Macaca fascicularis: one gene and its partners. The protein of the gene in region 2 interacts with the protein of the main gene of each other region in a biochemical or structural test. Links are inferred from orthologs where the notes say so. Each region holds a gene or a part of one and is shown on either strand. Other genes may lie near its edges. The genes, in order: histone H2B type 1-B, CREBBP, NUP98, NFE2L2, VDR, KLF1 and IRF5.

Evidence for each region.
Region 1: of the proteins of CREBBP (region 2) and histone H2B type 1-B, one has a biochemical effect on the other in vitro, tested with the Homo sapiens proteins (2 studies listed by BioGRID). The link is inferred for Macaca fascicularis from reciprocal best matches to the Homo sapiens genes CREBBP and H2BC3.
Region 3: the proteins of CREBBP (region 2) and NUP98 form a complex in vitro, tested with the Homo sapiens proteins (2 studies listed by BioGRID). The link is inferred for Macaca fascicularis from reciprocal best matches to the Homo sapiens genes CREBBP and NUP98.
Region 4: the proteins of CREBBP (region 2) and NFE2L2 form a complex in vitro, tested with the Homo sapiens proteins (2 studies listed by BioGRID, with this or other methods). The link is inferred for Macaca fascicularis from reciprocal best matches to the Homo sapiens genes CREBBP and NFE2L2.
Region 5: the proteins of CREBBP (region 2) and VDR form a complex in vitro, tested with the Homo sapiens proteins (2 studies listed by BioGRID). The link is inferred for Macaca fascicularis from reciprocal best matches to the Homo sapiens genes CREBBP and VDR.
Region 6: the proteins of CREBBP (region 2) and KLF1 form a complex in vitro, tested with the Homo sapiens proteins (2 studies listed by BioGRID and IntAct, with this or other methods). The link is inferred for Macaca fascicularis from reciprocal best matches to the Homo sapiens genes CREBBP and KLF1.
Region 7: the proteins of CREBBP (region 2) and IRF5 form a complex in vitro, tested with the Homo sapiens proteins (2 studies listed by BioGRID and IntAct, with this or other methods). The link is inferred for Macaca fascicularis from reciprocal best matches to the Homo sapiens genes CREBBP and IRF5.

What each region holds. Positions count from the first base shown.
Region 1 is NC_088378.1:146,884,678-146,888,906, reverse strand, and holds the start of histone H2B type 1-B, read right to left. Parts: upstream 2,801-4,229; 5' UTR 2,748-2,800; coding exon 2,371-2,747; intron 1-2,370. UniProt on the Homo sapiens protein: Core component of nucleosome. Nucleosomes wrap and compact DNA into chromatin, limiting DNA accessibility to the cellular machineries which require DNA as a template.
Region 2 is NC_088394.1:4,558,463-4,561,962, forward strand, and holds part of CREBBP (CREB-binding protein), read right to left. Parts: intron 2,397-3,500; coding exon 2,279-2,396; intron 1,784-2,278; coding exon 1,612-1,783; intron 1,259-1,611; coding exon 1,214-1,258; intron 1-1,213. UniProt on the Homo sapiens protein: Acetylates histones, giving a specific tag for transcriptional activation. Mediates acetylation of histone H3 at 'Lys-18' and 'Lys-27' (H3K18ac and H3K27ac, respectively).
Region 3 is NC_088388.1:70,596,318-70,599,232, reverse strand, and holds the end of NUP98 (nuclear pore complex protein Nup98-Nup96), read right to left. Parts: intron 2,104-2,915; coding exon 1,992-2,103; intron 1,865-1,991; coding exon 1,647-1,864; 3' UTR 501-1,646; downstream 1-500. UniProt on the Homo sapiens protein: Plays a role in the nuclear pore complex (NPC) assembly and/or maintenance. NUP98 and NUP96 are involved in the bidirectional transport across the NPC. May anchor NUP153 and TPR to the NPC.
Region 4 is NC_088386.1:72,769,216-72,771,698, forward strand, and holds part of NFE2L2 (nuclear factor erythroid 2-related factor 2), read right to left. Parts: intron 1,974-2,483; coding exon 1,707-1,973; intron 1,059-1,706; coding exon 969-1,058; intron 297-968; coding exon 105-296; intron 1-104.
Region 5 is NC_088385.1:54,687,829-54,691,968, forward strand, and holds the start of VDR (vitamin D3 receptor), read right to left. Parts: upstream 2,801-4,140; 5' UTR 2,705-2,800; intron 1-2,704.
Region 6 is NC_088393.1:13,279,567-13,283,600, forward strand, and holds KLF1 (Krueppel-like factor 1), read right to left. Parts: upstream 2,801-4,034; 5' UTR 2,743-2,800; coding exon 2,656-2,742; intron 1,737-2,655; coding exon 911-1,736; intron 657-910; coding exon 481-656; 3' UTR 21-480; downstream 1-20. UniProt on the Homo sapiens protein: Transcription regulator of erythrocyte development that probably serves as a general switch factor during erythropoiesis. Is a dual regulator of fetal-to-adult globin switching.
Region 7 is NC_088377.1:170,402,134-170,405,633, reverse strand, and holds part of IRF5 (interferon regulatory factor 5), read right to left. Parts: intron 3,334-3,500; exon of another isoform or gene 3,193-3,333; intron 2,055-3,192; exon of another isoform or gene 1,903-2,054; 5' UTR 1,892-1,902; coding exon 1,697-1,891; intron 1-1,696. UniProt on the Homo sapiens protein: Transcription factor that plays a critical role in innate immunity by activating expression of type I interferon (IFN) IFNA and INFB and inflammatory cytokines downstream of endolysosomal toll-like receptors TLR7, TLR8 and TLR9.

The DNA of each region.
Region 1 (4,229 bases), on a different chromosome or scaffold from region 2:
TTAATATTTTTAAATTTTTTTTTTAATGAGTCAGGCTGTTTTTTTGGGGGGGTGTGTCTCATTCTGTCACTCAGGTTGTCACGGCGCGATCTTGGCTTGCTGCAACCTCTACCTCCCAGGCTCAAGTAATCCTCCCACCTCAGCCTCTCTAGTAACTGGAACTATAGGCATATGCCACAACGCCCAGCTAATTTTTTGTAGAGACTGGATTTCGCCATGTTGCCCAGGCTGGTCTCGAATTGTGAGCTCAAGTGGTCTGCCTGACTAAGTCTCCCAAAGTGCTGAGATTACAGGCATGATGCACCTGGCCCAAAAGTTCATTTTGCAAATGCTTATATTAGCAGGTCTCACTTCTCCGGGGAAAGATCCTAAATATCAGTTTCTTAAACTGCAGCCTCAATTGCTTAGTAATGTTTTGGGGGAGGTGGTCGTTTTATAATTTTAAAAAAAATTATAGATTTTTTAAAACACAAGCGTCTCTTTCACAACGGTAGTTTGCATATACAGTACTAGGATGGGAAGTGCTTCACTTACAGTTGTTCACTGACATTTTGTGTGGCATCCAGATTTTTTTTTTATTTTTGAGACAGGGTCTGTCCTCACCCAGGCTGGAGTGCAGTGGTGTCATCACAGCTTACTGCAACCTCCACCTTCCAGGCTCAAATGATCCTCCCACTTCAACCTCCCCAGTAGTTGGGACTACAGAAATGTGCCACCAGGCCTGGTTAATTTTTAAATTTTTGGTGGAGACAGACTCACTAAGTTGCCCAGACTGGTCTTGAGCTCCTAGGCTCAAGTGATCCTCCCACCTTGGCCTCCCAAAGTGCTGGTATTACAGGCGTGAGCTGCACCACACCCGGCCCAGAACCTCTTTTAAAATATTCTTAAAAATTAAATCTGGGCCGGGCGCGGTGACTCATTCCTACGATCTCAGCACTTTGGGAGGCCAAGGCGGGAGGATCACTTGAGCCCAGGAGTTCACTTGACCAGCCTGGGCAAGATAGTAAGACCCTTTGCCTCCACAAAAAATTAAAAAATTAACTGGGTGTGGTGGCGCATTTCTGTAGTCCCAGGTACTCAAGGGGCTGAAGTTAGAGGATAGCTTGAGCTGGAGAAGTCGAGGCTGCAGTGAGCTATGATGGCACCTGGCCAACAGAGCAAGACCATTTCTCAAAACAGAAACAATAACTGTTTGAGAAACTTTATTTCTTCATCCGAAGACACTGCTGAATGTCACCTACATATAATGCCCGTAAGTTCACTTAAAATACTCCCCTCCGATTCCCCCATCCCCTCCTACTTAGTGTGCAATCAACAGGTTCTTTTCTTCTTCCATTTCTTCCCCCAGCCCCAGACCAAGAATTGGCCCATTAAGTCCTCCTCAACTAGTACCCTTCCTGCCTTTTTCTAGCTATATTGTTTTTGGCGTCCCGGATTTCTTGAAAAATGCTTCCCTCTCCAAGTGGGGCCTTCCTAGTATCTTTGCAGTAGGGCCAGTTGGGGAAAGGCACAAAATTCAAACCCTTTTGTATCTCGCAGAGCTGGAAATCCGAATTTTAAGTGGCCTAGGAAATGGGAATCTGGATTTCTGGGATGCATGAAATATGTAAACTACATAGCTGTTGTCATTGATAAACAATTATAACGCAAAACTACTGCGATTTCATTTTGTGGAACGGGAAATATTCCCTACAAAGGCGCCCGGGAAATCAGACTTCGCTTACTGTTTCCTCAATACTGGAGGAAATCTTTCCTTCTTACTGGAGGTAAGAATTTACAGCATAGGCAAACTGCAGGAGCAAATATCCCTACACGCCCTTTTGTCGCTTAGACTTTTCTGCTCCCCTCCCCCTCATCTCAAGCGGTTAACGGCTAATGACCCCCATAGAAACACTGTACCCTGAATTGCATTACTTGTTTCATTATCCAGAAAGGAAAGTTTCCTGTGCTAGACCAGGGAGGGAGTAGTGACCATATCAAATGAATTACAACTAGTACCCGAAGGCTTACCCAGGGGGAACAAAGAAGTTTGCTAAAGGCAGATGAGAAAGAGCGCCAGCACCCTCCTAACGTTTGTATTTTTAATAGAGACCATGTTGGCCGGGCTAGTCTCGAACTCCTGACGTCAAGTGATCCGCCCGCCTCGGCCTCCCAAAATGCTGGGATTAAAGGCGACAGCCACGGCGCGCTGCCCCAAGTTAACCTTGGCTCTAAAAGTTGCCTTCGCTAACATTCTAGTTGATCCTCTAGAACTGAAGCAGAACAGAGGCAGCACCACCTTAAGAAATTGTGGTTATAGCTCTCTTTGCGACAAAGTAGGTGGCTCTGAAAAGAGCCTTTGGGTTTGGAGGTGCTTACATAAGCACTTACTTGGAGCTAGTGTACTTGGTAACAGCCTTGGTGCCCTCGGACACAGCATGCTTAGCCAGTTCCCCGGGCAGCAGCAGGCGCACAGCCGTCTGGATCTCCCTGGAGGTGATGGTCGAGCGCTTGTTGTAGTGCGCCAGGCGGGAAGCTTCGCCCGCGATGCGCTCGAAGATGTCATTGACAAAGGAGTTCATGATCCCCATGGCCTTGGAGGAGATGCCGGTGTCGGGGTGGACCTGCTTCAGAACCTTGTACACATAGATGGAATAGCTCTCCTTTCGGCTGCGCTTACGCTTCTTACCATCCTTCTTCTGCGCCTTAGTGATGGCCTTCTTAGAGCCCTTTTTAGGGGCAGGAGCAGACTTAGAGGGTTCAGGCATCGCTATTCCTAAAACAAAACAAAAAAGCTACTAACACTCTCCAGCAGAGTAGTAGAGAGAACAGTTCAGAGCCCACGTATTTATAGTCCTGAGATTCAAATGACGGTTTAAGATTCCTCACTTCTGATTGGATAAAAGAAATACAGTTTCACTGAGGGGTGGGGTTTATGCAAATATGGAATTTATGGACTCTTTTTCTATTGGATAAAGCAGGAAACATAATTGACCAATAGGATAACTCTCTATTGCAGCCTTGCAGTTTGTATAAAAGTATTTCTTCAGGCGCCATTCCATCTTGCTTGTTTTTTACAGTTTTCAGAGGTCGCTGTGTTTGGACATGGAAAACGGAAGTAAAGCACAAAGTTGTTCATCGGTACCAGCCTTGCAGTTTCTAGTAGCGCAGGGTCCATCGTCTTTTTCGAAAGGGCAATTATTCTGAGCCTGTCGAAGCCGGCGCGCCGCTGTACTTAGAATACCTGGCCGCCGATATCCTGGAGCTGACACGCAGCGCCATACGTGACAAGACCCATAGCATCCCCCGCCACTTGCAGCTGGCCTTCCGCAACGACGAGCAGCTCAACAAGCTGCTGGGCAAAGTCACTATTACTCAGGGAGGCGTCCTGGCCAATATTCAGGCCGTCCTGTTGCAAAAATAACCGAGAACCACGATAAGGCCAAAAGCAAGTAAAGCCCACTCAAGCCAGAAAACGTACCTTAAACTTGCTACGGCATTTTTCAGAACCGTCCATTGTTTCACAAGAAAGGATGGTAACTTGCTTGTGTTTCGGGTACCTTTTGGTTTTGGTTTGGATTGGTTTGAGACAGAGTTTCGCTCTGTCACCCAAGCTGGAATGCCGCCGCGCGATATCGGCTCACTGCAACCTCCACCCCGCGGCTTCACCAGGTTCTCATGCCTCAGCCTCCTTTGTACCTGGGATTACAGGCGTCTGCTACCACGCCTAGCCAATTTTTGTATTTTTATTCGAGACGGGGTTTTCACCATTTTAGCTAGGGTTGTCTTGAACTCCTGGCCTCAAGTGATCCTCCCATCTTGCCCTCCCAAAATGCTGGGATTACAGGCGTGAGCCACGGCCCCCCTAGCCTAATGGTGTTTAAAAATTAAGTTTCGAGGAAATATCTTCTTTAAGAAACTACATTTTAGAGTATACAAAGTGAAACTAAAGCCAACCAAAATAAGACAGTTTGAGAACAGTCAGGGTGGGAATGTGACTTGGACTTAGAAAACGAAGGATAAGGAAACTGGCTGTTGACCAGTAACAAAATAGCATGGAATTCTCATTCTCTGAATGTAAGTAGTTTCCGACATGAGGCAGTCAACGTTTCTGGTGGTTTAGTGAGTGTTCACCAGCACTGATAACTTTCAAGACTGTCAGGAATGCAGAATTTCAAGTCCCACGCAAACTTACTGAATCGGAATTTACATTAAAAAAATCCGTAGATGCTTTGTTATGTACCTTGTTC
Region 2 (3,500 bases):
CTTCAATCAACCAAAAACCATAGGCTCTCTACTTAAGAAACTTTCAAGGTTGTTGAGACAGCTGCTGCCACCCCAACCTGGCACAGGACCTGTGTGTACACACTCTCCAGAAGTTGACATCCAGCCAGCTGGGCTTAACCCCTAGGGCCAGGAGCAGCCCGTGCCGTCCCCATGTCAGCCTGTGCAAGTGCTCAGCAGTCTAGGAGTGTCTTGCATGCCTCTCCTTCTCAGCACTGAGAAGCACTCCCTCCCCACATCTAGAGTGCTTCTTTCTCAGACTCTTCCTAAGACTAATGTACCATGCCCCTTCACCATCCATTAAAAAAATAAAAAGCTGGGCTGGGCGCAGTGGCTCACAACTGCAATCCCAGCACTTTGGGAGGCTGAGGCAGGCAGATCACAAGGTCAGGAGATCGAGACCATCCTGGCTAACACAGTGAAACCCCGTCTCTACTAAAAATACAAAAAATTAGCCGGACGTGGTAGTGGGCACCTATAGTTGTAGCTACTTGGGAGGCTGAGGCAGGAAAATAGCGTGAACCCAGGAGGCAGAGCTTGCAGTGAGCCGAGATTGCACCACTGCACTCCAGCCTGGGCAACAGAGTGAGACTCTGTCTCAAAACAAATAAGTAAAATAAAATAAAATAAAATAAAATTTAAAAAAAGCTAAGGCTGGGTGCAGGGGCTCTCATGCCTGTAATCCCAGCACTTTGGGAGGCTGAGGCAGGTGGATCACAAGGTCAGGAGATCAAGACCATCCTGTCTAACACAGTGAAACCCCATCTCTATTAAAAATACAAAAAATTAGCCGGGCATGGTGGCCGGTGCCTGTAGTCCCAGCTGCTGGGGAGGCTAAGGCAGGAGAATGGTGTGAACCCAGGAGGCAGGGCTTGCAGTGATCCAAGATCACGTCACTGCACTCCAGCCTGGGCCACAGAGCGAGACTCCACCTCAAAAAAATAAAAATAAAAATAAAATAAAATAAATAGCTAAAAACTGCTTCTTATTTCTTGAAAGATCTTTCCTATAATCTCCAAATTTCATACTATAAACAGATCCATACTACCTGTAGAACAATTCTGCTCATCAGCAAAAAGGAATGGAAAGAAGAAAGGACTAGAAAGAAATACACAGGGGGAGAGGAAAAAAACAGTGAAAGTTATGGCTGTTGAATGTTAAACTAAAATATGATTCACAGCAAATAGTTCAATACCTTGAGAAACTTGCATGCGATTCACTGGCAGGGACAGAGGTCCATCTATGGCGGCAAAACAAAAACAAAAACAAAACCACCCTAGTTATTTAATATAATCCTTGATTCAGGAATAGGAAATGTCTTATTAGGACTTCAAACTTAAAAGGGAAAACAGCCAATAGGTCCAAAGGCACGTGTGTTCCAATGCCAGCGGACCCTGTAAAGGGCCTTCCCAAGAGAGAAACTCAGTGTCCCAACACAGCCTGAGGCAGGTGGTCAGGGCCACTGCCACATCAACAGTTTCCGCAGTGCACGCATCAGAGATTCTAATTCTCTGTTCTTAGAAATACACCCCAAACACGAAGGAAAACCAAGGAAACAGGCTAAGGGATGGCAGAAGGAAATAAAATGCTTACTTGGAGGTCTCACAGGTTGTGCCTGTGGAATCACAGGGGGCTGAGTCCCCGGGGCTGGTAAGGCTGGCTGGTTCCCCAAGATGCCTTGTTTATGTAAACGCGACCTCCGTTTTTCTTCTAGTTCTTTTTGTATCTTGTAGATTTTCTCTGCTAATAAGTGATAATATTCATCCTAAAAAGCAACAATATTCAATATGAAACAGTTAAAACTGTAAAAAGCAACTGAATGATCTGTGTTGTAGGTTCCAACTAATGAACTTCTTCATTGAGTACACTGGCAAAAGTAAGTATGCAAATAAATACTTGATGCACCAGGAGCTTTATAGGACATATCAAATAATAGGTACTAAATACACGGCCCACTTCATACCAATGAACTTTTGAATATTCACTGATGCTAGCAATATTACACCCACCACCTACTGTGAAAAATATATCCCATGGACATAATGTAAATTTATATATTCCATGTACCAATGTAACTAACCAAGAGAGTTCTGCAGGAAATTTGTGTCTTATCTGGGAAGTCTCTTTGGCCAGTGGCCTCAAGGTGAGGAGTTTCTCCCAACTACACAGATTCCACAATTTCTAGATAACAAAGCAGACAAATGCAGTGCTGTCTACTACAGATGCTGTAGAGGCCAGAGCACGATAAGCAGCAACCTACCCTGCTGTTGGCAGACTCGTACATGTCCCCTTCCACTTTCTTAGCATAGGCTACCAGGTTTTCCATGCGGCGATCCTTTAGAGCTGCGGGATCAGGTGTTGGGAAGATGGCTTGGACGCTGAAAGGATAACACATCAAACTACTTTTTTTTCCTTTCTTCTTTTTTTAAAGACATGGGGTTTTGGCCAGGCACGCTGGCTCATGCTTGTAATCCCAGCCCTTTGGGAGGCTGAGGCAGGAGAATCACCTGAGGTCAGGAGTTTGAGATCAGCCTGGCTAACATGGTGAAATCTTGTCTCTACTAAAAATACAAAAATTAGCTGGGCCTCGTGGTGGGTGCCTGTAATCTCAGCTATTCGGGAGGCTGAGGCAAGAGAATTGCTTGAACCCGGGAGGCAGATGTTGCAGTGAGCTGAGTGCCATTGCACTCCAGCCTGGGCAATAGATAGAGCGAGACTCCGTCTCAAAAAAAAAAAAAAAAAAAAAGACACGGGGTCTCGCTCTGTCACCCAACCTGGAGTACAGTGGCATGATCATAGCTCACTGCAACCTTGAACTCCTGGGCTCAAGTGATCTTCCCACCTCAGCCTCTCAATTAAGGAGGGAGGTACAGGTGCACACTACCATGCCTGGTTAATTTTTAAATTTTCTGTACAGATGGAGTTTTGTTATGTTGCCCCAGCTGGCCTGAACTCCTGGGCTCAAGCAATCCTCCCGCCTCAGCCTCCCAAAGCACTGGGATTACAGGTGGGGGCTGCTGCACCTGGCCTGAAGCTACTCCCAATGCTGTCAAATGAGCACTACAAAATCAGGATCATGTATCTCTGGTGGCAATACACTGTGGAGAGAAATGCCAAGCCTCTCTTGCCCAGCATATCAATATATGAATGAAGTAACTCCCTGGAGACAATCCTGACTTACCAACTTATCTACACATCAAACACATCAATATTTTGCTATTAACAAGTATGTGCTGGGTCATTTCCAGAATAACACGATTTTTAAATCCCTGATTTTTAAACTACTTACTACTAAAAAAATTTGATCAAAATAAGGAATGGAAAAAACTCAGGGAATATAAGTCTAGTTCATTTAAAATAACTAGCTCAACAAAGTTAGGCTTCGTGTGGTGGCTCATGCCACCCAGCACTTTGGGAGGCCGAGGCAAGAGGATTACTTGAGGCCAGGAGTTTGAGACCAGCCTGGACAACATGGCAAGACT
Region 3 (2,915 bases), on a different chromosome or scaffold from region 2:
ATTTGCTCATATCTTCAGCTTGACAAATCAAAATAAGATCTGGAATAGTACTCATGCTACTCAATTGATTCCTCTTGAAAACAGCCCTGTGTGAAGTAACATCAGGGATCATTATCCCCTTTACAAAAGGGAATCCGACTTAGAAAGGTGAAGCGTCACTCAAGGTTTAAAAACAAAACCACTACAGTAGAAGAGCGAGGAGGCTTTGAATGGTATATTCTATTGGGCAATTTGAGACCTGGAAATCTATATGTATAAATATATGTACAGCAATCAGTATTAATCAATAATCAACTCCCTTGCCCCTAAATCTCCCCTTATAAATCTAGCCTTTGGGCTAATCTATCTCTCAGTTTAGCACCAAATAGTTCTCTCTTTAACCCAAGGCCTGTCTCCATTTAGAAGGCAAATTCAAAAACAGGCTAAATCAAACAAGGCCATCATAAAGATCCTCAGGGCAAGAAGGCTCAAAAATACAAAGGGAAAGCCAATACCAGGAATGCTATAAACATTTTATTTATTTATTTTTTAAGAAAGTAACTTCAGAAAAAGAGGAAAATATCTAGATCATTTATTTATACATATATATATTTTTTAATAAAAACCTTTACATAATCTTCATGCATAAAGACCCAGGTGTGGCCATATTGCCTGAGACAGCCCTAACACCAGCTATCTCATGCCATTACCTGGGGCTCCCTATAGCTGTCAGCAGTGTAGCAAAGGCCCTCTGCCTGCCCCTAACGCCCAACTCCATGCCTGCCTCAGTCATGGTTTGCTTCTGGAAGGGATGATGGAGGGTGGAAAATGCTTTAGAGCTAACATGGGATGAACAGGGAGGGTTACCCAACCTGCCATTTTTAATCCAAACTCTTCAGGCAAATCCAGACAGACTCTCAGCAAGATGACTGAAAACCAGGGACCAAACCAAATTCTGGGAGCTTCCCATAGACATGTCACATATGACCAAGGGCTCCTGCACATAGTAGTAGCAAAGGTATGGTGTTCATGGAACACTAAAGGCAGGAACAAAAGAAGCTCTGAAGATCAATCCCTCCATGGCAGGCATTCACTTCTGCCCTAAGTGTGTCAGAAAGATCCCATTCTGTTTCCTAACTCAGGCCAACCCTCCTCTGCCTCCAAAATTCAGTGTTAACTAACCAATTACTTAAGAGACGGATCCCTCTTCCTTCTGTGGATAGTTCACCTGTTAAGGATCCATTACTACCTGTCTCACTCCTCCTAAGGAGTCCTAGCATAAAAGGGCCAGGGTAGGAGTAGGGTAGCTGGTTGGCATGGAGGGTCACAAGATCCAGAATGGCTAGGGGTGAAAAAGGATTCCCTGGTTCTTTGGGGGATTCTGCCAAAGGAGCTTTATTGACCATTTATTAAAAGGAAAAACACTGGTCTTGAGGATGGTAAAAAGAGAATTGTCTCCTCTTCTGGGTTCCAGAAGCCCTTATGCTATGTTTAGTATTAAGAAAAGCCCTGAACAACTGGAGGATGCTGCTTGTGGCAGCAGGGAAGGAGGGCAGATGCCATAGCCAACCCAGAGAATGGCAAACAGTGCCAATCCAAACAAGGCAGGGAACCTCTGTGTGGTGAGTGTGAACGGGCATGTGAGTGTGATGCAAAGAGTCTGGGGCTCACAGGCTCCCAACAGCGAGTTCTCGCAGATAGGACTGGGTAAGGCTGCGCAGTTCGTCCATGGCATAGTCCTCAGGCATGGGGAGCCGGCCAATGTGGGGAGCCAAGAGGCGCAAAGGGACTCGCTGAGGGTCTGGTGTTGAGTCGGAGGTTCTATCAGGAGCATGATGCAGACTCAGCACCACCCGCAGCAGGTTGGCTACACGTTTGGCCATGTCTAGAGAGAAAAACTAGAGTTAAGCACTGAGCATGGGTCTAGAGAACGGTGGCAGGCACTGAGGGTGGGGTGTAAGATAAAAACAGGAAGCAAGAAGGCAGAAAAAGTGAGGAGATTAGAGGCTTACCTGACTGAGCTAGGCGATCTTTAGCATTGTAACACTGAATCTGCTCTATGCGACTGCACAGTGAAGTCACTTTGATGTGTAACTGCTCCAGGTCATAACCTGAGCAATCCACCTACAAAGAAGCAGAGAAGTCAATTAATCCAAGGGGAGTTCCTATCACTCAACACCACCTATAGACTCTATACAAAACCTTGAAACAACAGTGAGGTGAGGGAGGGGAAAATCCAAGAAGATGACACAGGGTCAAGCCACCACCATCTAGTGGAGGACAAGGCACTAATTATGCAGTAATAAAGAGGAAGGTAACATAGTGTACACAGCCTTGGACTAGGAAAGTCTTGAGATCCCGAACGATACAGCAAGCTTTAATAATACAGCAAGCTTTAATAATACAGCACCAAAAATCAAGATAAACTGGGTTCAGAGAGATGGTATGACTTCTTAAGAGCACACAGGAAGTAAAAAATGCAGCCTGAACCAACATTTAATTTAGGTCCCCTGACTCCAAGTTTATAGCCTTTTCTTTTTTTTTTTTTTTTTTTGAGACGGAGTCTCGCTCTGTCACCCAGGCTGGAGTGCAGTGGCGGGATCTCAGCTCACTGCAAGCTCTGCCTCCCGGGTTCACGCCATTCTCCTGCCTCAGCCTCCCAAGTAGCTGGGACTACAGGCGCCTGCCACCTCGCCCGGCTAAGTTTTTGTATTTTTAGTAGAGACGGGGTTTCACTGTGTTAGCCAGGATGGTCTCGATCTCCTGACCTCGTGATCCGCCCGTCTCGGCCTCCCAAAGTGCTGGGATTACAGGCTTGAGCCACCGCGCCTGGCCTAGCCTTTTCTAAAACACCAAAAAAGCTGGGTGCAGGCAGCAGGAGGATCAAGAGCAAGACAAATTATTTGCTCTCATGAAACTGACAGAAACTAAATAAG
Region 4 (2,483 bases), on a different chromosome or scaffold from region 2:
ACCCTCCAATCCTTCCTATAAATAGGCGGCATATAAATAATCAGAATGACTAAAGGCACTGAATATAAAATAATATCTTCAGTATTACATTCTATTTTAGTTACCTGTAACTCAGGAATGGATAATAGCTCCTCCCAAACTTGCTCAATGTCCTGTTGCATACCGTCTAAATCAACAGGGGCTACCTGAGCAACAGAAGTTTCAGGCGACTGAGCCTGATTAGTAGCAATGAAGACTGGGCTCTCGATGTGGCCGGGAATATCAGGAACAAGTGACTGAAACGTAGCCGAAGAAACCTAAAATTGATAAGGCATTGATTTATGAGTCTTCCACCAACGGGGGATAAGTAAGCTCTAAGGCACCACCACAATACAAAATGGAATCAGCTGCAGTTCCGTGTCTCGCTACTTACTAACCAGTCATGACCCTTTGTAAATAATGAAATCTTTTTTTCCTACCACACTGACTCAGATTTACTATTTGCTGGCCTAATTGTTTCAGCCTATGCATTTGGAAGTAAACTTTAAAATGAGTAAGCACAATCTTTAGCATTTAGTTTATATAATATCTAGCACAGTGGTACCAGATAAAACCGATTTATTAAAACTGTTAACTGAAGAAGTCTTCGTTTATTGCCCAGCTGGCTTTTTACTCACCAAGACCTCTTAGATACTTGCAGCAAATGAGTTATTTGTTTCCATGGTTATGCTGTCCATGTTTCTGGCTATGCAACAGTAAATGGTTTTGGTTTTGTATTGTGTGAAGGTTTTTTATTATTTTTTTCTTAATTGTAAAGTTATCTATAGGCTAAGGTTTCCTTGACAGAGTATTTCCTTGGTTAAAAAATTTCCTCCTAAAACTGTTTTTATTCTTTTAAATGGAGACTCATTGACGGGACTTACGTAGAATACGATTGTTATTTTATAGTTAGGGAGTTTTGCTCCTAACCAGGTTATTTTATACCTCACCTCATTGTCATCTACAAACGGGAATGTCTGCGCCAAAAGCTGCATGCAGTCATCAAAGTACAAAGCATCTGATTTGGGAATGTGGGCAACCTGATAAAAGGGAATGACACAAAGGAAGACAAAAATGGTTAAATATTCCATTGCCAAGCAAAATATTCAATACTTGATGTTCATAAAATATAATCAAGTTAGGTAAATATTTATCTTATTGCAGAGATCACTTTGGTACACAATTTGAACCAGACCATGTGGGTTCAAATCTTAGCTCCTCCAATTTTTTGAGTGATCTGGGCAAATTATTTAACCTTTTTTCAGCTTCAGTTGCTCATCGCAGATAAAATAGGGATAATGGTACCTAATTAATATACTTGTGTTGATTAAATCAGTCAGTATATGTTAAGTTCTTAAAACAGTGCTTGCCACACACAGTAACGCCAGTAATTCCTACTACTTGGTTCTCCTGCCACTACTTCTGTTGCTGCTACTTGATCCTTACAGGATGTTTCTATACTTTACAAAACTCTTTTGTGTAACTTATGTCTTCCCAATCCTCACAATAACTCTGTTAAGATTAGTAGGTTGGGTACTGGACTCATCAGGAGGCTGAGGTTGGAAGGTAGATTTGACAAGGTTAAGTAAAAGAAAGGCAAAGCTGGAACTCAAATCCAGATACTTTAATTCCTTGGTCAGTGTTTCCTTAAACCCTGCCATAACTTTCCCAAGAACGGAGTACTCTACCTGGGAGTAGTTGGCAGATCCACTGGTTTCTGACTGGATGTGCTGGGCTGGCTGAATTGGGAGAAATTCACCTGTCTCTTCATCTAGTTGTAACTGAGCGAAAAAGGCTTTCTCTTGCTCCTTTTGGAGTTGTTCTTGTCTTTCCTTTTCAAGTTTTTTCTGTTTTTCCAGCTCATACTCTTTCCGTCGCTGACTGAAGTCAAATACTTCTCGACTTACTCCAAGATCGATATCTTGCCTCCAAAGTATATCAATCAAATCCATGTCCTATGTTTAAGACAAAAAAAGGAAGGAGAGAGATCATGGTTTTTAAATGGCAGATACCACATATATTAATTCACATTATGCCACTGTTGATGGTGGGGAGTGGGGAGATTACAAATACAATCTAAATGAGAACACAGATCCAATGTTCTAGAAGAGCACAGTTAATTCCATTCAATGAATCTATTCATTAAAGACAACAAACAACCTACAAACACATAGCCATCCACTCTAATCACTTGGATCATTAACGATAGGGTGATGGTAGAGGTCACTAAAGGGCAAAGTCACAAATGGTTTGAATGAAAAGAAATCCCACCCTTGTTTAACGCAATATAGAAATTAGAGCAAGCACTCTAAGCCACTGACTTACGAGAAGTAAGTAATGTTGGAAAACATTACTGAATACATGGAGCTTTCTTTAAACTTTGCTCAGCAAATATCCAGTTTATAGAGGGATAACTCCCAAGTTAAAGTGTCAATCTAGCAGTTATGAAATGTCACCATTCTTTC
Region 5 (4,140 bases), on a different chromosome or scaffold from region 2:
GGTAAGAGAGGATGGTGGCTTAGAAAAACCAGGGCTATGGTGGCCATTGAGATGAATGGTGGAAAAGCAAGTGCATTTTGTGTGGGATCTGGTGGACTGGACGGTATATTGGATGTGAAAGGTAAGGCAGTACCAAGGACCACAGTCTTCAGCAACTAGAAAGATGAAGGTGAGGCAGGTTAGATTGGGGGTGACAGAGGGGAATCAAGGGTTGTCATCTGGATGCATTACGTTGAAATGTCTGCGAGGCCCCCAACAGAAGTGTCCAGGGGAACTGCTTCTGGGAGTCAGAACGCAGAGGAAGAATGGGGTTTGCCACCATACAGATGGTGTCTAAACCACAGAAATACGGCAGAGGGGATGGCAGTACCAAGTCCATGCAGCACTGGCTTTCCAGTCACTTCGAAGAGAAACCTGCCAAGAGGCCTGAGAAGGAATCACAGACAAGTCAAGAAGGAACCAGAAGGACAGCGCCACATGGGGGGAGCAGAAGGGAAAAGAGAAGGCCTCGGGAGGGGAGTCAGTTGAGTCCAGGCTGCTGGGAGAGGACGAGGGAGGCACAGAAGCGCTCCTCAGGCCGAGTTTCATGTGAAGAGCTGCAGTGGAGCAGTGGCTGGGGCTGAGGGAGGAAGTAGAGGCAGCAAGTGGCCCTGCTCTTGTGAGGAGGACGGCTGTGGAAGCGTCAGCGTGATGGACTGGCAAAGATGGATCCTGGAGAGGGATACTTTTAGAGATGAGAGGTAGAGCATGCTGATGGGAACGGTCCAGGAGAAAGCAGGGTGGGGTTGGAGGTCAGGAGAAGATATGAAGGACAGCTGAGGCACCCTCCCCCTCAGGTGCCCCCTCTCCCCCCCCACCGCCCGCCTTCCTCCCTCCACAAAGGCGAGGGAGCCATGGCCCTGGGACCTGGACCCAGGCTTGGATGGAAGGCAGAGGCCCAGCCCCCGCTAGGGTGGAGAAAGCCGTGGAGGGGAGGACCTGCCTTTGCTCTGGAAATAGAAAACCAACACTGGTAACTGAGTAACTCTCGGAGAGGGGTGCAAAGGCACTGGCAAAATCTGAAGGAACACAAATAAGCTGTACCGCTTGGGCAGCGAGGTGGATCGGATGTAGGGGGTGCAGCGGCCTGACCTGCAGGGGCCACAGGGCTCTTCCCAGTCCTGCCTGACCACAGCCAAAAGCGATGGTTCCTGGGAGGCAGAGCATCACCAAGAAAAGATCAGGCGCTCAGCCCCAGGCCGTCAAGTCCCATTTCCTCTACCCACCGCCACTGCCTGCTCCGACTGCAGCCTGGCGCACCACCCGGACGAACAGACGGACGAACAGACAGACGGACAGACAGACAGAGGCTGGCCTCGCAGCCTCCGCCAGCAGAGAAGGCCTGCGCGTGGGATCCAGCAAGGCCAGTGCCCTGCCTCCCTCCAACCACCGCCCACCCTTCTCTGACCGCGCCAGCGCCGGATCCCATCTCCCCTCCCACACCCCTCCCACCCGCAGGGGGCAGCCTTTACTGCCATCCTCTCTCAAACCTCCCTCACCTGCGGCCCCAAAGCGCGGGCTACACACCTGTGCACCCCACGCACCCGTGCACCCCCACACACCTGCGCGCCCCACACACCTGCGCACCCACACACCTGTGCATCCCTCACACCTGTGTACCCACACACACCTGTGCGCCTCACACACCTGCGCACCCCCTCACACCTGCACACTCCCTCACACCTGCACACCCCTCACACCTTTGCACCCCAAACACCTGTGCACCCCCACACCTGCGCACTCCCTCACACCTGCACACTTCACACACCTGCGCACCCCCTCACACCTGCGCACCCCCCACACCTGCGCACCCCTCACACCTGCGCACCCACACACACCTGCACACACTCTCACACCTGCGCACCCCCACACACCTGCACACCCTCACACCTGCGCACCCACACACACCTGCACACACCCTCACACCTGCGCACCCCCACACACCTGCACACACTCTCACACCTGCGCACCCCCACACACCTGCGCACCCCCTCACACCTGCGCACCCACACACACCTGCACACACCCTCACACCTGCTCACCCCCTCACACCTGTGCACCCACACACCTGCGCATCCCCTCACACCTGCGCATCCCCTCACACCTGCGCACCCCTCACACCTGCGCATCCCCTCACACCTGCACACCCCCTCACACCTGCGCACCCACACACACCTGCGCACCCCCTCACACCTGCTCACCCCCTCACACCTGTGCACCCCACACACCTGCGCACCCCCTCACACCTGCGCACCCCACACACCTGTGCACCCCCTCACACCTGTGCACCTCCACACACCTGCACACCCCTCACACCTGCACACCCACACACACCTGCACACCCCTCACATCTGCACACCCCCACACACCTGCGCACCCCCTCACACCTGTGCACCCACACACACACCTGCGCACCCCTCACACCTGCGCACCCCCACACACCTGTGCACCCACACACACACCTGCAAACCCCCCACACCTGCACTCATGACTGGATAGCAGGCTCCTCGGAGGAGCTTTCTACCAGCATCTAGGAGTCCCTGAGTGACAGGTTGGGCTGCAGGTGAACACACTGCCCTCTTTCTGCCTCAGTCCCGCTGTCCTCCCTTGCTTTGGGCAGGGCCCCTGCGTCCCTCTCTGGCCTCACCCCTGTCCCCAGGCTCACCGCCAAGGTCGCAGGAAGCAGAGGTGCGTCTCCCCCTGCAGCAGACCACCCTGGCCCTGCTGCTGTCCAGTCCCCAGGCCTGCCCTTCTCCACACTGCGCCAGGACAGCAGGGCCTTCAGGGAAAGGAGGGGCCAGGCTGCAGGGAGTGGGGCTGGGCCTGCCCTCCTGAGGAGGAAAGGAAGGTGAGAGTCAGTGACCTGAGAAGTTTCCATGAACTCTGCCCATGAGGGAACAGGGGAGGACCAGGAGGCTGGGCCCCACACAGCCGGAGGGAGCCACCTGGCAAAGTGGTTTCCCTACCATCAATTTCTAACTGAATCTTGAGGTAAACAGACACACCGGACCTGCCCTGAGGAAGGAGGCAGGTTGGGAACTGCTTGCCACCACGGGCATTAGAGGAGCCAGAGGTATCTGGAGCAGGGGGTGGGGGTCAGGGCTGTGGACAGCCTGGCCGTCCATCCTGGGCAAGGGGAGATGGCTTCCCCAGGAAGGACGGTGAAGGCTGTTCCCATCCCCTCTCCCACTGGCGCTGTTAAGGTACGGTCCGTTGATGGGTAAACTGAGTGCGTGTAAGTGAGAGAGAAGGGGTCATGGTTGGTCTGAGGAAGCAACCAGTTCAACACCTCCAGCTGCTGACTCAGCTGCCTCCCGTCCCCAGCCCTCAACATCTCCTTCCTAAGCCGGTGGGAACAAAGACGCCGCCAGTTTCCAGTTGTAAAAGTTGGAGGAACAATCAAGAACAAAGATCAAGGCTTCACATTTTCCATGACATTGGTGCAGGGGCGGGGACACCATGCCTATCTGGCACAGTCCCCATTCCCCATGCCCTCTGGAAAGCAGGAAACTGCCATGTGGGCATGGGCAGTGCCAGCCTCTCCATTAGCATGGCGCCTCCCCTGGGTCAGCCTGGGTGGCTGTCTTGGCCAGGCCAGGCTGTCTCCACAGAGTCTCCTGAATTCAGGGTCCCTCAAGCCCCAGTTCCTCCCATTTCTGGGAGATCAGCCAGCCTCAGAGGCCAAGAGCTGGGAAGCAGGGAGCCCACCCAGGAGACCCCCAAACCCGTAGCACTGTACAGAGGTCAATGGTCAGAGGGAGAAGGGCAGGGGGACAGCAGACAGAGGACTGGAGGTAGGGACTTGGGGGTGGGTGGGGTTGTAGATGTGGTAAGGGAGCAGAGTTCTGGAATCCATTTGTAAGATGTCAAAGGGCAGCTGAGACTGGGCTGCTTCCCAAGGTATGGCTGACATTGACTAGTCTCCTTGTCCTCCCACCCCTCTGGCACCCTATTCTCGCAGCTTCTGGGGGAGATAGGCACGTAGTGATGAGTCCACCCAGGTAAACAGATGATGATACATCTGTTTAATGGAGTACTCTTCAGCTGTTAAAAGTGACATAAACCCATTGATGCTGGCGGAGAAAATGACCAAGGTTTATT
Region 6 (4,034 bases), on a different chromosome or scaffold from region 2:
ATTCAGGCAAACGCTGAAGCTTTATCTGGGAGGGGCATTTTTATAGGACCCATAACCATTGACAGTTAATATCAGCCACAATAAGGGACCTTCAGGAGCCCCTTTCTAGACCCAGGGTCTCTGGGAAGCCTCACCCCACACCCTCTTCTGCTGTCCAGGGCCATCTGGGAGCTGGTCTGAGTGTCCACTGAGTCCGTTTATTTGGTGGTCTGTCTCACTGGGTCTGCATGACAGTTTGGACATCTCTGTGTGGCTCCCTGTGGCTGAAGACTTGTCGGATTTCCGTGGGAGGCTCCCCCAGGGCTGTCTATGGGTCCGTTTTTGATATCTGGGTGAATCTTTGGGACAGCGAGTCCAGGAGAGGGTCCATTCGTGGGAAAACCACCCGGCATTGTGTCACTTGTCCGTGTAAAGAAACCACCAAACAGGCTTCTTGTCCCATCCCCAATCCCCAGGACAGTCCAAGTGCCAGGGCAGGGCTCAAAGGTGCCGCTTCATGTGCAAAGCCAGGTGGTCTGAGCGCGAAAAAGCTCGTGGGCAGAGCTGGCAGCGGAAGGGGCGTTGCCCCGTGTGTTTCCTGTAGTGGCGGGTCAGCTCGTCCGAGCGCGCGAACCTCCAGCCGCAGCCTTCCCACGTGCAGGCGTATGGCTTCTCCCCTAGGGGACGAGGAAGTCATAAGCGCTATTGTCAGCCCAGTCATGTCCCCGGGTCCCCTGCATCTGGCCACACCCCTTTACTCAGTCTGGGCTGGGACTAGGATGAACAAAGTGAGGCCCCTAGGGCACAAAATTTAAGGAGGCACTCACTCTCAGAGCCAGCCAAGTCCAAGTCCCGCCCTCTGCAACCCTTCTTCCCCGGTAACTACAGCAGGTGCCACCCGCTTTCTCATGTCCGGGTCCCACCCCCTCACCTGTGTGCGTGCGCAGATGCGCCTTCAGGTGGGAGCTCTTGGTGTAGCTCTTGCCGCAACCCGGGTGCGCGCACGTGTGCGCTGCCTGCCTCTTGCGCGCCCACGAACGTCGGCCGCGCTTGGATGGCGCGGCCTCGGCTATCACACCGGGATCCCCTGCAGTCCCCCCGAGTCCAGTGCCCACCGTCCCGGGTCCCAGGCAACTCAGGAAGGAGGGGGACGTGGCGGGGCCGGGCGCGGGTCCCTGGAGCCCGCGGAAGAGCTGGAAGTGCCCTTGGTACTGAGGCGCCGGGTACACCGCGGGGTACCCGGACAGCAGCCCATAGGGGGCGCCCGACGCCGCAGGCACTGAAAGCCCGGTCCGCTGGAAGTAGCCGCCCGAAGAGCCGGCGCCGGGCCTGGGGTATACCGGTTGCAGCGCCAGCGCCTTGGGCTCGGGGGCCGGGGCTGGAGCCAGGGCTGGGCCCACGAAGGCGTCGGGAGCCGGGGCTCGCAGGGCAGGACGCACCCAACCTGAGTGATCCTCCGAACCCAAGAGCCCAGCCACCATCCCCGGGCCGCCCGCATAGGCTCCCAGAGTCTCGGGGGGCGGCGGGTATTGCACCCCGGGGGCCTCGCTGGGCGCCAGAGCGCAGGTCTGGGGCGCGCCACCCGGCTCCGGGCCCGAGAAGTTGGTGAGGAAGAGATCCAGGTCCCAGGTGGCGTCCGCGCCCCTCTCATCGTCCTCCTCCTCCCCGGGTTGGTCCTCAGACTTCACATGGAGGGGTGGCTCCGTGGGGTCAGGAGGACCCGGGCCCATGTCCTGCGCCTCTTCGGAGCGCCACCACTGCGGGAGGGAGCAGGCAGCTTGAGGTTCGGTGGACACTGAGGTGCCCTGCCCAGGGACATCGCAGGCTGGGTACTCTTACGGGGAGAGGCTGGCCAGAGGCTTTGGAAAAGGGTCCTGTTTGCCTGTCTCTCTGTCCCACTTCCCCAACACTAGCCGCCCTCTAGCCGCCCCTCTCCCCCCTCTCCCCCAGCTCCAGGGACAGAAGCCGATCAGGTCTGGCTGGAGACAGGAGATAAGACTTCCACTATCTGGAACCACACTTGGGGATGGGGGAAGGGGTAGCAGAACTGCTGGAGATGGAAAACTGGCGGGGGTTAGGGGAGAGGGTGCCAGCCTTGACTTAGTTTCCCCCTGGAACATCTCTCTCCTTCCCTGTCTCCTAAAACAAGAATAATTCCGAAATTTTGGATGTCCCCCAGACACACTCATCATTTCCCTCTGATATCTGGAAGGTTGTGAGCCTAGATCTCGTTCCTTTTTGTTTGTTTGTTTCTTGAGATAGGGTCTCACTCTTTTGCCCAGGCTGGAGTGCAGTGGTGCAGCTCACTGTATCCTTAATCTCTTGGGCTTTAATAATCCTCCTGCATCAGCCTACAGAGTACCTGGGACTACAGGCACATGCCCCCACGCCTGACTAGTTTTTGGTATTTTTTGTAGAGATGGGGTTTCACCATGTTGTCCAGGCTACCTTCGTTTTCTATTACAGAAATAGATCACACCTAGAACCTCAAGCCCCCAGACCACCCTCCTCACCCTCTGCCAGACTAAGCTGAGATCCCCTCACCTGGACTGAGTGTACCTCAGTTCTGGTTAAGTCCCTTGATTGCAGGGCAAGATGCAGGTCTGGACCCCAAGATCTGTGACTGTGGCCCTGGATCCCAGCCAGCCCACCTAGACCCCACCTTCTAGGCCCCACCTTGAGGAAGTCATCCTGTGTGTCCGGGAAGGGGCCCAGGGCGGTCAGTGTGCTGATGGAGGGCAAGGCGGTCTTGGCTGTGGCCATGGCTGGCTGGTGCCCACCCTGGGCCTCGAGCCTCCTCTTCCTTGGCTGCCTGGTGAACTCTGAGGCTGTGATAGCCCCTTCGAGGGCTCCTCTCTGCCCTTAGCTGATTGGCTGCAGCCTCTGATAAGGGGAGGCAAGGCAAGGCAAGGCGGGGGGGTCACTGTTTCTGAGGCACAAACTTCACATTGGCCTGTCTGGGGTTGGGACTTAAAGACTAACCCTGTGTCCAAAGCCAAGTCAAATATCAGGGGTTGAGGGGTTCAGGGTTTGAGGGTCCAGGTGCTGGGTAAAAGGAGACATTGGGTCTCCAAAGAAGGAGAGACTTGGGGGTCTGCCCTCAGTTTACTTTCCTGGAAAAGGCAGAAAGGGTATTCTGGGAAGAAGCTGTGGGACCCCCTGTCCCCCTGATTGAGGCTCTACAGCCCTCCCCCTCCCCAGTAAACAGCAAAAACCGTGCCGATGGCGGGACTTGGCACAAACTCCCCGCCAAGCATTATCAGACACCCCAGACGTTGGAGGCTGCTATCAGGTGGGGGCCCAGGCCAGCTAGAGCTCTGTCCTCCGGTGAAGGGGAGGGCTGGGGGTTGGGTCTTCAAATTAGCCTGGCTTTCAATTTGCCTGGGTTGGGACCTCCCAGGGTCTGAGCCCTATAGCAGGAGGACACCCCTGCCAACTGGCCCACCATTGTCTACTGGGGACTCTCGGGTGGCACTGCATGGGACTGCATGGAGGCTGGTTCAGTGCCAGCTGCTTTAGTGCGATGGGGGCAGCCATGGGAAAAGTGACCCTGTCTCATCCTGGGTGGGATAGGACCGTTGGACCAAGCCATAGGCAGTATCTGACCTGCAGGAGACCAGTACCCTGGCTCTGGGCCTGGCTGCTCCTTGATTCTGCCCAAAATGAGGAGAGGATCTGAGTTACTACAACAGGGACCTCCACTCTGGTGCCCTGGGAGCCTGGGAAGGGGACATGGATACATATTACAGACACATAATTCATAGTCACTCATTGGAAGACTGAGGCAGGAGGATCACTTGATGCCAGGATTTCAAGACTAGCCTGGGCAACATAGAACCTATATTTCCAAAAAAAAGCTGTGAGTGGTGGTGCATGCCCATAGTCCCAGATACTTAGGAGGCTGAGATGGGAGGATCGCCTGAGTCCAGGAGGTCGGGGCTGCATTGAGCTATAATCACAACACTGCAATATGACCACACCACTGCAGTCCAGCCTGGGGGACAGAGAGCAAGACTCTGTCACTGAAAAAAAAAAAAAGAGAAAAGTTGGGTGGC
Region 7 (3,500 bases), on a different chromosome or scaffold from region 2:
ATTGCTTGAACCCAGGTGGCAGAAGTTGCAGTGAGCTGAGATTGCGCCACTGCAGCCAGGGTGACAGAGCAAGACTCCATCTCAAAAAAAAAAAAAAAAAAAAAGAGTTAGCTGGGCATGGTGGCATGCAACTGTAGTCACAGCTACTCGGGGAGCTGAGACTGGAGGATCACCTGAGCTGAGTTGGAGGCTGCAGTGAGCTATGACTGCACCACTGCTCACCAGTGGTGCAACACTAGGCAACAGAGCAACACCTCATCTCAAAAAAAAAAAAGGAGGGGGGGGAGTATATATGTACAGTTGTAATATGTCAGTTAAAAAAAAAAAGATTGGGCCAGGCACAGTGGCTCACACCTGTAATTCCAGCACTCTGGGAGGCTGAGGTGGGCGGACTGCTTGAGTCCAGGAGTTGGAGACCAGCCTGGGCAACATGGCAAAGTCTCTACTAAAAGTACAAAAAATTAGCCAGGTGTGGTGGCAGGCACCTGTAATCCCAGCTACTCAGGAGGCTGAGATGGGAGACTCACCTGAGCCTGGGAGGTAGAGGCTGCAGTGAGCCAAGACTGCGCCACTGCACTCCAGCCTGGGTGACAGAGTGAGACCCTGTCTCAAAAAAAAAAAAAAAAATGGAGCTGGTCAACAGAGTTAGGCCCTGCCTCTAAAAAAATTAGAAAATCAAAAAATTAAAAGATTGATGATATATCTGAATCTTATATTAAAAATAGTTTGTTCCCAACACAAAGAAATGACAAATGTTTGAGATTATGGATATGCTAAGTACCTGATCTGATCACTGTACTTATCAAATCATCACTGTGTACCCCATATATTTATGGGGGTATATTAATTTAAAAATAAAATTTTTAGAAAGATGATGGGTGGGCCGGGCACAGTGGCTCACACCTGTCATCCCAACATTTTGGGAGGCTGAGGCAGGCAGATTATGAGGTCAGGAGATCGAGACCATCCTGGATAACATGGTGAAACCCCGTCTCTACTAAAAATACAAAAAAATTAGCCGGGTGTGGTGGCGGGCACCTGTAGTCCCAACTACTTGGGAGGCTGAGGCAGGAGAATGGCAGGAACCTGGGAGGCAGAGCTTGCAGTGAGCTGAGATCGTGCCACTGCACTTCAGCCTGGGCAACAAAACGAGACTCCATCTCAAAAAAAGAAAGATGATGGGTGATTGTTGGCTTCCTTTAGCATATGTGTGCACTGAACAAGTCCTCATGAGTAATAGCAGTGAGATAAGAGCAAAGGGTGAGTAGGACAAATTATGGGAAGGCCTTCTGGGGACCCTCAGTTCCCACACTGCTCTAGGGTGAAGGTTAGAAAAGGTGTGCCCTAGGCCAGGCGCGGCAGCTCATGCCTGTAATCCCAGCTACTCAGGAGGCTGAGGCAGGAGAATCGCTTGAACCCAGGAGGCAGAGGTTGCAGTGAGCTGAGATTGTGCCACTGCACTCCAGCCTGGGCTACAGAGCGAGACTCTGTCTCAAAAAAAAAAAAGAAAAAAAAAAGGAAAAAGGTGTGCCCTGTGGCTACGTCTGCATCCCCTTAGTCCGGGCCTGGCATCAGTGGCAGCGTGCTAGCTGGGTGGGTGGCCAGTCTTGAGGAGCTGCCTGTGTGTGTTATATGCGATCCTCTTCTGGGGACAGGGTGCTCTGGAGGTCCAGCCAACCTCCTCGCCAGGGCTTACCTTGAAGATGGTGTTATCTCCGTCCTGGCTGGGACCATGCCTCGTGGCATGCCTCCAGGGGATGTAGAATAATTTCTTTTCCCCGTTGACCCATTGAAGCCCTGGGTACTGGCAGCTGTTCACCTGGGCCACCAGCCAGGGCTTCAGCCGCACGCGGCGGGGCGGGGTGGGAGCGCCTGGGATGGACTGGTTCATGGCAGAAGGGTCTGCAGGAGAAAGCCAGGGGGAGCCTCAGCAGGTCCGCAGGTGGACGGAGACAGGGTGCTCAGAGGTCAAGCTGTGGGCCACAAGGGATGGTCTCTCCAGTCCATCTAGGTATTTAAGGCCAATTGTCTTTTCCAAGCATCAACTTTCTTGTCTAGTGTCATGGAATTTTGTGTTTGGGTGAAGGGAAAGAGAGTTACGAGTTAGTGAATGCTGCGGGCACAGCCCCAGACGCCCTTTACCGGGCGGAGGCATCTATTCTCCAACTGCTGACAGTAGCGAGCAGCCCATTGGCCAGAGAACTGCCTTCCACTACTCACCCCACAGGTTAGGCCCACCCCTCGCTCTTGGGGGGGCAGCCCACAGCCAGACTGCCTGACACAAGGGACAAAAGCCTGGCTATCTTGTCTCAAGCTGGGCTACTTGGGGCAGCGAGTGCTCCGTGGGATCAGCCTGAAGGCAACCTCCCGCTCAGTCCACACCCCTGGTTCAATTCTTCTCTGCCCAAGTTTTCTCACCCCTGTCCCCTGAGAGTCCCCTCCGGAGATGCCCTCAACAAGAATCTCATCTCGAGCTCTCAAGGACACCTGCCCTCAGAGGAAAGCAGAACATGTGAATGGAGGGTGGGTTTCTTCACCCAACTCTCAGAGCTACCTTTCTTCCTCAGTTTCCCTCCGGGAGGAAGTTCCCCAACCTCAACGTCTTTAGATAAATCCCATCAACCAACTCAACCACCTCCAACGACAGCGGCCACCAAACTTAGACGTTACTTCTCTAGGGCCATTCATCTAGATTCTTGGTCCTCCCCCTTCTCCTCCCACTGGACACGCATTGGTGTAGCCCTTAGGAAGGCCCTAACGCCTGCCGGAGCCTGTTAGGAAGTCTGCAGGAAACAGAAACCACAGCTCTAACCACTACCTACCCAGGGGCACGATCCCCACCTCTCAGGCCACAGCTTCGCTGCCTCCCTGGAGTCAGGCCAGAGGGACCCTGCCTCCTCCCCTCCACCCGCCAAACTCCCTCTCCAGCCCAGAACCGGAAACTCTTCACAGTCCTGAGCCCCCTCCTCTCTCTCTCTCCTCCCCTTACCCATGCCCTTGGCCCTTCACTTGAGACCCCTGTGTGGAAGACAGAAAGGACTGGGCCATTATACAGCACAGCCCATCAGAAGTGAACGTGTCGCTCAGCAAGTAAGGAGCAAAGGTTCGAGCTGAACTCCCTCTGTCTTTCTGGGCCTGCTTGGGCCTTGCAGCACGGAACCTCAGTTTCCCCTGAAATTCCCTGCCCAGTACCTTTTGGGTTTGCACCTGCCTCGTGCTGCCTCTGAACTGCTAGCGTCTCACATTGTAGGCCTCCCTCAGAGCCCAGCTCGGCTGCCACCAACCCAGGAGACGTAAGGCCGGCCGGCCTTGCCTGGCCCAGGGGCTGGGACTGGGAGGTGTTCAGAACGCTCCAGCCCTGCCCCGACCTCAGAACATGGGGGCTCAGTTCCGCTTTCTGCCCCAGCCTCCACCCAGCCCCAGGGGAAACGAAAGTGGCTGGACTGGGACAACTCAGAAACCAAACTGACTGTGGGCTGACGGAGGGAGTCGAGTGGGTC